Drosophila melanogaster: one gene and its partner. The protein of the gene in region 2 interacts with the protein of the main gene of each other region in a pairwise test. Each region holds a gene or a part of one and is shown on either strand. Other genes may lie near its edges.

Region 1 (3,210 bases), on a different chromosome or scaffold from region 2:
CCCGAGGAGGATGCCTTGCAGGTGGCCGGATCCTTCAGCTTCGTAGGAGACGACGGACAGACGCATGCCATCAGCTACGTGGCCGATGAGAACGGATTCCAACCCCAGGGCGAGGATATTCCCCACCTATAAATCGGTGTATGATGGTAATTAAAAAGGTCTTCTAGTTGAAAACTAGAAATCAATTGGAAAAACAAGTCATTAAATCGAAATAGGCTCAGAAACCATAATACTGAATAACCTTTTATCGTAGCTCAGTTTAAATAAAGAATAAAACCAATTGTTATGTTCCTTAAAAATATTTTTAAGATTAGTACCTTCGTAAATTTTTTAGATGGAACATCTTGTATATTGATCATTTTGAATCAAAAGAAATAAAAGTGTGAATTTTCATAGCTAAATACGATAAAATAGAAAATAACTCTGGTACTTCGTTATAATTATAAAGGAAAGTTATCTAGTGCAGTTTCATATTTTGAATGACCCTTCCCAGAACTGGTGACTTACTTTATGGGTTCCACAAAGAAAACATATTTTTTTCGAGAATCGAAAGTTCGGCTTTAATGCGAGTAACAAGGAAAATAGAAAACAATGCACGACACTGACTTGACTGACTGATCGACTTACTAACTGACTGACCGATTGGCTGCCACGGGACAAGGGACAGCTCCTCCGGACAGGACCTTAGCACCTCACTGTATGGCTGGTTGGTTGGAATTGTGGGTTCATTCGGGAAGGTGGTATTTACAGGATCTCCTCGAAAGCGGAGGTCTACTTGGGCAGATGGGCACCCTCCGGCTGAAAACCGTTCTCGTCGGCCACAAAGTTAATGGTGTAGGTTTGGCCATCGGGAGCCACCCAGGTGACGGATCCCCGAATGGATATGGATTCGTTGTCGGTGCCCGCGTTGTTGACCACGCCCTCCTCTGTTCGACTGGTGCCATCGCTCAGTTTGTAGCTGAACTTGTAGCCGCCGAGGCCGGTGTTCTCCGATTCGTACTCAAGAACTTCCACATCATTTTGCGGCCGGGCACTGGCCAGGGCCAGGAGAAGGGCTATCGAGCCAACGACTAGCATCTGCAAGGCGGTAAGAGATTAGGTATCCTTTTGCGTATCCTGGTTGGGCATGGTGCGCCTCGTTTATCCAAGTTCACCTACCAATTTCATCATGTTGAGCGGTTCTCGAAATTGCAGATTCTCCTATGCGGCTGGACAAACTGGCAGTTGTCTAATGGTGGCGTTGCATCGGCGTCCACTGCATTTTATACTGCACTCGCGGCTGCATTTGCAAACGTCATAAATTTGCACAATTGTGGAAGAAGCCAAGCAGCTCGCTAGTTCAGCAGCTCTGGCGGTCGCCGGCTAAATGTTTTCCACTATTTCCATTTTGTTTTTGTTTTTTTTGTGCTGTTTTTCAATTGCCAGCGTTGCACCAAAGTCGCCAAAGTCGCTGCGACAAGTAACATTTAAAGCGGCTTTGTGCAGCGGTGTACTCATCCGAAAGGTATTATTGCTCTTCACCCACACTCGAAAAAGCATTCTAAGTTTCAGGGCGATTCTGTGAGAATAGTTATCCACAATCAATATGTCTTCATATTTTTAACAAGAAACCAAACATAAAAATAAGCATGTTAAAACTAATGTAGTTAGAACATAAAAAATATTTATTTAAACCTATAACACTTAATCATTCGAATATCTTTCGTTTTACACCCACACTAAAACCACCTTTCGAAGTTTTAGTGCAACTCATTAAGTACTTAAATCTTAATTGAAATAAACAAAACAATTACTTGAATATAATACCACATTTAAGATGTACTGACATTTTCTGTCAGTGCCGACTGGTAGCTTTAGAAAACTCGAAAAAGTTCATGAATCAAGCAGATGCATTGGGGAAAAGGTTGCGGTTTGATTGGGCAGCTACGGGGAAATACCGGGCCAAGAACTATGGGAAACAATAACCAGAACAGCTCGTCAGATGGGCCCAGATCGAACCGAAATCGACGACATATTGGTGGCCCAAAAGAGACTAAGTTCAAGTGCTGTCGCCGCCAATTGGCAGGGCAGCAAGTTCAAGCCGCGGACACGAAGAACACGAGCTGAGCCATGTGTGATGGCCAAAGTGCACGATGGATGAGGCTGTGGATGGAGATGGAACCGCAGGTTGACTTTTGGCATATGCAACGGCCTTTACAGCGCTCGATTGATGTGCCTGCCCGGTAACAAGAGCCAAAAGCAGTTGGAAATATATATAAAAAATACATCGAATAACCTACAACTACGGCTCGCATGCAATTTAAATCTCTGACTCTTGCTTTTTGTTGTACTTTTAGCATTTTTTTTTTAATTTAGTTTTTAAGTCGCCGTCGCCGGTGCTTGCCAATTTATGCCACCTTCGTTGACCGCTAGCAGGCCGATGAAGAAGCCCCAGCAGCGGATCTTTCAAGCCGGTCAGTCGGGTTTTAACTTTGGTTATCGGTCGGCCTCTGGTCAACCACGGTTCTGCCCCAGCCTCCTCCTCCACTTGAATTGAATTGTGCCAATTGTGACTTAATGTCTGACCCATCGACAGGGTGTTGTGCACTGATACTGGCATTTCCTCAAATGTCGTTGAAAATCACATCATTTTGGTTGATTTTTTGGCAGCTGCAATTTGGCATTTTGCCATTCTTAACTTGCTCGTTAAAAATCATGGAATTGGTGACATCCGAGGAATGTTATCAATCAAATAATATTGTCCATATAACATGTAAAGAACGCATCAAATAAGCAAAGCGTCTTTGCAATCAAAAGCAAAAGCAGACTCAACAAATTTCTGTTGTCATTGTTTATTCAGCAAAATTGCATTACATTAATACAGTGTGAAAATTACTTATTGTTAGTCAAATGTGTAACTATAATTTTCTGATTAGACCGCAAATGGAAAAGTTGTTAATATGTTAATTGAACGAGAAAGACAAGTATATTAAAGAAGAGAAAAAACGATGGGTTTTTGCATGATTGAAATCTTTACAAATAAAATGTCACATGAAACATCAAACTTAAGCGCTTAAGTTTAATACTAAGCAAGTTCATATACAATGTGGTTTCCATGAAATTTCAGCCTGATTTATTTACCCAGTCCGCCTACAAATTGAACTTGAGGGCATTCGGGGCCCTTGAAAATGGATCTGATTCGTGGCTGCATAATATTTATTATTTGGGTCT
Region 2 (4,544 bases):
ACGCCTTCTACTACAATCTGGATAACTCGGTGTACGTGATGGCGGGAGTACTGCATCCGCCTGCGTACCACCGTTCATGGCCCGATTCCTTGAAGTTCGGCACCATTGGCTATCTGATAGGTCACGAGTTGACCCACGGCTTCGATACGGAGGGCTCCAGTTTCGACAGCGCCGGCGAAGTACGCGACTGGTGGTCCAGGAAGTCGGAGGCGGTATTCCAGGAACGGGCGCAGTGCTATGTGGATTACTTCAACCAATACTTGATACCGGAAATCAACCAGACAATTCGCGGCAATGAGACAAGGGACGAGAACATAGCGGACGCCGGTGGCTTGAGGGCCGCACTCACCGGCTATCGAAACCACATGAAGCAGCTGCAACGAAGTGGAGCGGATGGGGAGACGTTGGCTCACAAAAACGAGCAGATGCCCGGCCTCGACCTGTCGCCGGAGCAGCTCTTCTTCGTGGGATTCGCGCAGCTGTGGTGCGCCGACTACGAGCCGGAGCACTACTGGGAGGAGCTCACTGGCGCACATACCGTCGATAAGTATCGGGTGCTGGGTGCCGTTTCCAACAACGACGATTTTGCTGAGGTCTACAAGTGCCCACTGGGCAGTCCAATGCATCCGAAGGCTGAGAGTTGTCGGATGTGGTGACCATAAGTCGTATATAAAGGAAAAGATGTAAAATACTCTAGATGTTCAACTACAAAATAAATGAAAACAGGAAAAATAATGCAAATCGACGATATAGTCTTACACATTTCTGCAATTGAGTTAACTCACTCGACTTTACCCATTTACTCTTAATAGTCTCTTTATTTCTAATTGGTTTTAATGAGCAACGTGCTCTGAGGATTTGAAGGCGTTGGGTCCCCGGTAATTCTCGACCAGCAGGGATTTGTAGCGCCTCAGGTGGACGCTGAGTCCTTCCTCGCGCTCGCTGACGGAGAGGATTGAGACGCGGGCCACGACCAGATGGGAAGGATTCGATTGACTAAAGCCTCGGATTACGTCGATTTCATCGCCGACTTCCAGCTGTAAATGGTAAATCATAAGATTGAATTCGATCTATATATGGACTCCATACCTGGGCACTCTTTTTGGGCAGCTTCTTTCCATTGACGCGTATCTTGCTCTCGTAGAAATTCAGTTCCACTTTGCTGTGGGAGGTAAGACATCATGGTTATTGGGGGCATTTAGAAAACCTTCGGCTGTTTCTTACTTTCTCGCCATGCCCAGGCCAGCTTTCAGTAGGAGATCGGCGCGCAGTGAGTTCACCTTGGTCTTGACCACCTTGGAGTCCCTTTCGTCCTTGAAATCCTCATCATCCTCGTCGTCGCTGTCCAAGTCATCCGATGCTCGTGAGGATTTCTTGTCGTACTTCCACGCTGAAGCACTGGTGTGTACAGGAGCCTGCAGCTCTAAGGTGGTTGAGAGTTTAGGCAGACTTTTAGATGGAAATGGCGTCCTTAGGGATCTTCCTAGTCGGGCTATTTGACGAAAAGTCCGGAGCATTTTGTGTGGGCGCCTTAACAATTACGATAACAAACTGAATAACATAACCTAAAAACTACAGCTGTTGCGGTGGCGTTGCCAACCATCTCTAGGACTTGTTTGCCTTTTTGTTTCGTTTCTTTTTGGGTTTCTTGTCGGGATTAGGACGCACTTGGTAGACAGTAAGGGGGCGATAGTTGTGCAGATCTGCGGGCAGGAAATCATCATCATCATGTGGCTCCACCTCCATGGGCTCTGGGCTGGGGGACTTCTCTTTTTTAACAGGGTTATTTTTGACTTCTACTACCGGCTTTTTACTTTTGGCTTTCATTGCCAAATTACTGAGGGCATTGCCCAGTTTTTGGGTCTCCACCTGGACATCCACGCGGTCCAACTTTACTGAGGGTTCGTCCGAGAAGCAGGATATGAAATCATCACCCCAATCCTTCTTTTCAGCCACTGGGAGCTGCGGTTTTTTTTCCTCTTCGGCTGGTTTGATTATTTCGGGTTTCTTCTTGGGTTTTTTGTGCGTTTTCGGGGCTATCTTCTTAGCAGGTGTAGGTGTTCTCTTTCGGGCAGTAATCCACTGTTCCAAGTCCTCGCTTATTGCTTTCAAATCTAATGGCAAGGCCAAGGAAAGCGCTCTAACGCCAAAGATTTCCTGGGTAAGCTCCTCCAGTTTGGGCTGCGCGTAAATGGGAGCCGTGGGCATCTTGACAGATGCACTGGTGGCCATTAGACGGACGAGGTGAGTTGGTCGCAGGCTCAAGGAAACCAATAGGCAGGAGAAACGCCGCGAGTTTATGGCGCGTAGGGAGCTCTCCAGGCCGAGATGTATTCCGTATCGAGTGGCAAACGATTTGGTCTGCCCGTCGCTGCTTTTAATTGCATTCTGAAGGATCTGACGGAACTGCTGCACTTCCTCCTCCGATAAAAGAGGGCTAAAGTCAAAAGAAACAACCTGTTGATTGGGTTTTTATTGGTTTCTGCCCGCCTCACCTGTGCTGTTTGTAAGGATTGGCTAGAATATTGCGCAGTTTGGGCAGCAATTTCTTTTTGCCCTTAGCTTCTTTCTGTTTTATGCTGGACAAACTCATGTTTACGATATAAACTAATAAAAAATAAAAAATTTCTGCTGAAAAATCAAACAACAATGTGTTTGGCTTTTGGCCAGTGTGACCGCGTTTCTTAGTTTAAAATAAGCCATAGCTTAAATCGCGTTGCCAATTGCTTTACGTTTTTATTTAAATTAAAACTCTTAATTTTTGCTTCTAAAAATTTTTAATCAAACTCTTAATTTTTATTTGCAATCATTTTCAGTACCAGTAAAGTTCCGGCTCCGTGTCCGAAGAGTACTTCAATTTTCTCGGTCTCTGGCGAACGTAATCTTCGACGAAATTCAATTGCCTTGGTGTTGTGGTTTCTACTTGAGTTTCTACTATTTCCGTTGTTGTTAAATTAAATCCAAATGGTGTTGATAATGTAGAACTTTCCTCTTCGGTGCTGTCAATCACTGCATCCAGATACGACGTGGTAGTTTCCACGCCCGGAGTCGTGGCAATGATTTCCAGCAAGGATGTAGTAGATTCCTGGGTTTCTGTGGTTGAAAACAATTCTTCTGTTGAAGTTTCTGCTGTTTCAGTTGTAGTTTGATCTGTGGATAATGCAAACGTGGATTCGTTCGGTTCTGTGGTAGAATCAGCAGATTCAGTCGTTGATTCCGGCAATTCTGTAGTGCTTGGATTGATTTCTATTTCTGTGGTAGTTTTTATTAGTTCTTTCTCTGAAAATTCAGAACTTAAAGTAGTCGTTGATTCCGGAAATTCCGTAGTACTTGGCATAAACTCTGTTGTTGTTGATTCCTGCAATCCTGTAGAGCTCTGAATGGTTTCTGTAGTAGTTTCTTGCCATCCTGTAGATAAATCTGGATAAATTAACGTTGATTCAGCATATTCAGTACTGTCTGAATTGCTTTCTGTCGTTGAATCTGCAGCTTCTGGACTCGAAGTTGTTGTGGAATATAGGGCTACTGATTCAGTGGCATCTATAGCATCTGTGCTGGTGACTTCCGGCCAAGCTGTTGTCGTGGAATATAAAGTATCCGTGGTTGAAGTTACATAACTAGATTCGGTGGTTGAATAATCCACCGCCGTAGTTGTAGATTCCTCAGTGGCACTTTTCTCCGTTGTAGTAGATACTTCCCCAGTGAAGTAGCCAGTAGTCTCCTGCGGATTGGTGGCCACCGTAGTTGTGTCCCAAAAATCTCCATCGAACGGATTGGTAAAATTTACGATGCGCGGCTTGTAGGGTGTGTAGATTTTGGCTTTGTAAGGCTTGTGGTTCTTGATGTATTCCTTGGCTATGCTAATCCACTCCTCGCGACCGAGAATATCGTTTAAATTTCGGCTTGAGGCCACAAAATGCGCCATTAAAAGAAGCAAACAGAATTTTCTCATTATGATGCTGATACCTTCGGTTGACACTTTCGACTAATTACCTTTGGCGACTGCAGTGCAATATAAACGCAAGGGTCTACCTACGTTTCAACGCGTATTTTAGCTACCTGCTTTCTTGGCAAAAACGTTAATTAGCCCTAATGAACTGGAAAATTCAAATGTTGCCGCCAGGGCTGCAAGCGCTTACTTTATTTGTGCTGGCAATGCCGTAGGTAATGCCGGCCGCTTAACAGCTGAGTGTTTTTCGGGGAAGAAGAAGAACAGCGTGTTTGCAGTCCGCGTTTTTGTGTAAAAATTGTGAATAATTATATTATTTGCAGTTTTCTTACGTTTTAAAGAAGAATTTAGCAATCAGAAGGTCCTGTAACAATTGGTAAGTCGGTAAAAACAACAAAAAACAAGAGTAGCATAAGTTTCGAGTCACCGTGAAAGTTTTAAATTTTCTAAGACGCCACCGGCAAATTTTGAATGAAAGTATTGATATATATATTTATTTTAGGAAAAACCATGGATTCCGATTTGTACGATGAGTTTGGCAACTATATTGGCCCCGATTTAGACAGCGACGAGGAAGATGAGCAAAGTATTTATG

Evidence for each region.
Region 1: the proteins of CG4884 (region 2) and Acp65Aa interact in a two-hybrid assay, tested with the Drosophila melanogaster proteins (one large-scale study listed by BioGRID).

What each region holds. Positions count from the first base shown.
Region 1 is NT_037436.4:6,151,510-6,154,719, forward strand, and holds Acp65Aa (adult cuticle protein 65Aa), read right to left. Parts: upstream 1,237-3,210; 5' UTR 1,171-1,236; coding exon 1,159-1,170; intron 1,078-1,158; coding exon 772-1,077; 3' UTR 541-771; downstream 1-540. Other genes in the region: Lcp65Aa, read left to right, coding at 1-132.
Region 2 is NT_033777.3:27,956,583-27,961,126, forward strand, and holds CG4884 (uncharacterized protein), read right to left. Parts: upstream 2,664-4,544; 5' UTR 2,594-2,663; coding exon of another isoform or gene 2,496-2,593; intron 2,438-2,495; coding exon of another isoform or gene 1,606-2,437; 5' UTR 1,518-1,605; coding exon 1,225-1,517; intron 1,163-1,224; coding exon 1,090-1,162; intron 1,038-1,089; coding exon 834-1,037; 3' UTR 774-833; downstream 1-773. Other genes in the region: Nep7 (neprilysin 7), read left to right, coding at 1-656; CG42487 (uncharacterized protein), read right to left, coding at 1,606-2,437, 2,496-2,593; CG31253 (uncharacterized protein), read right to left, coding at 2,813-3,952.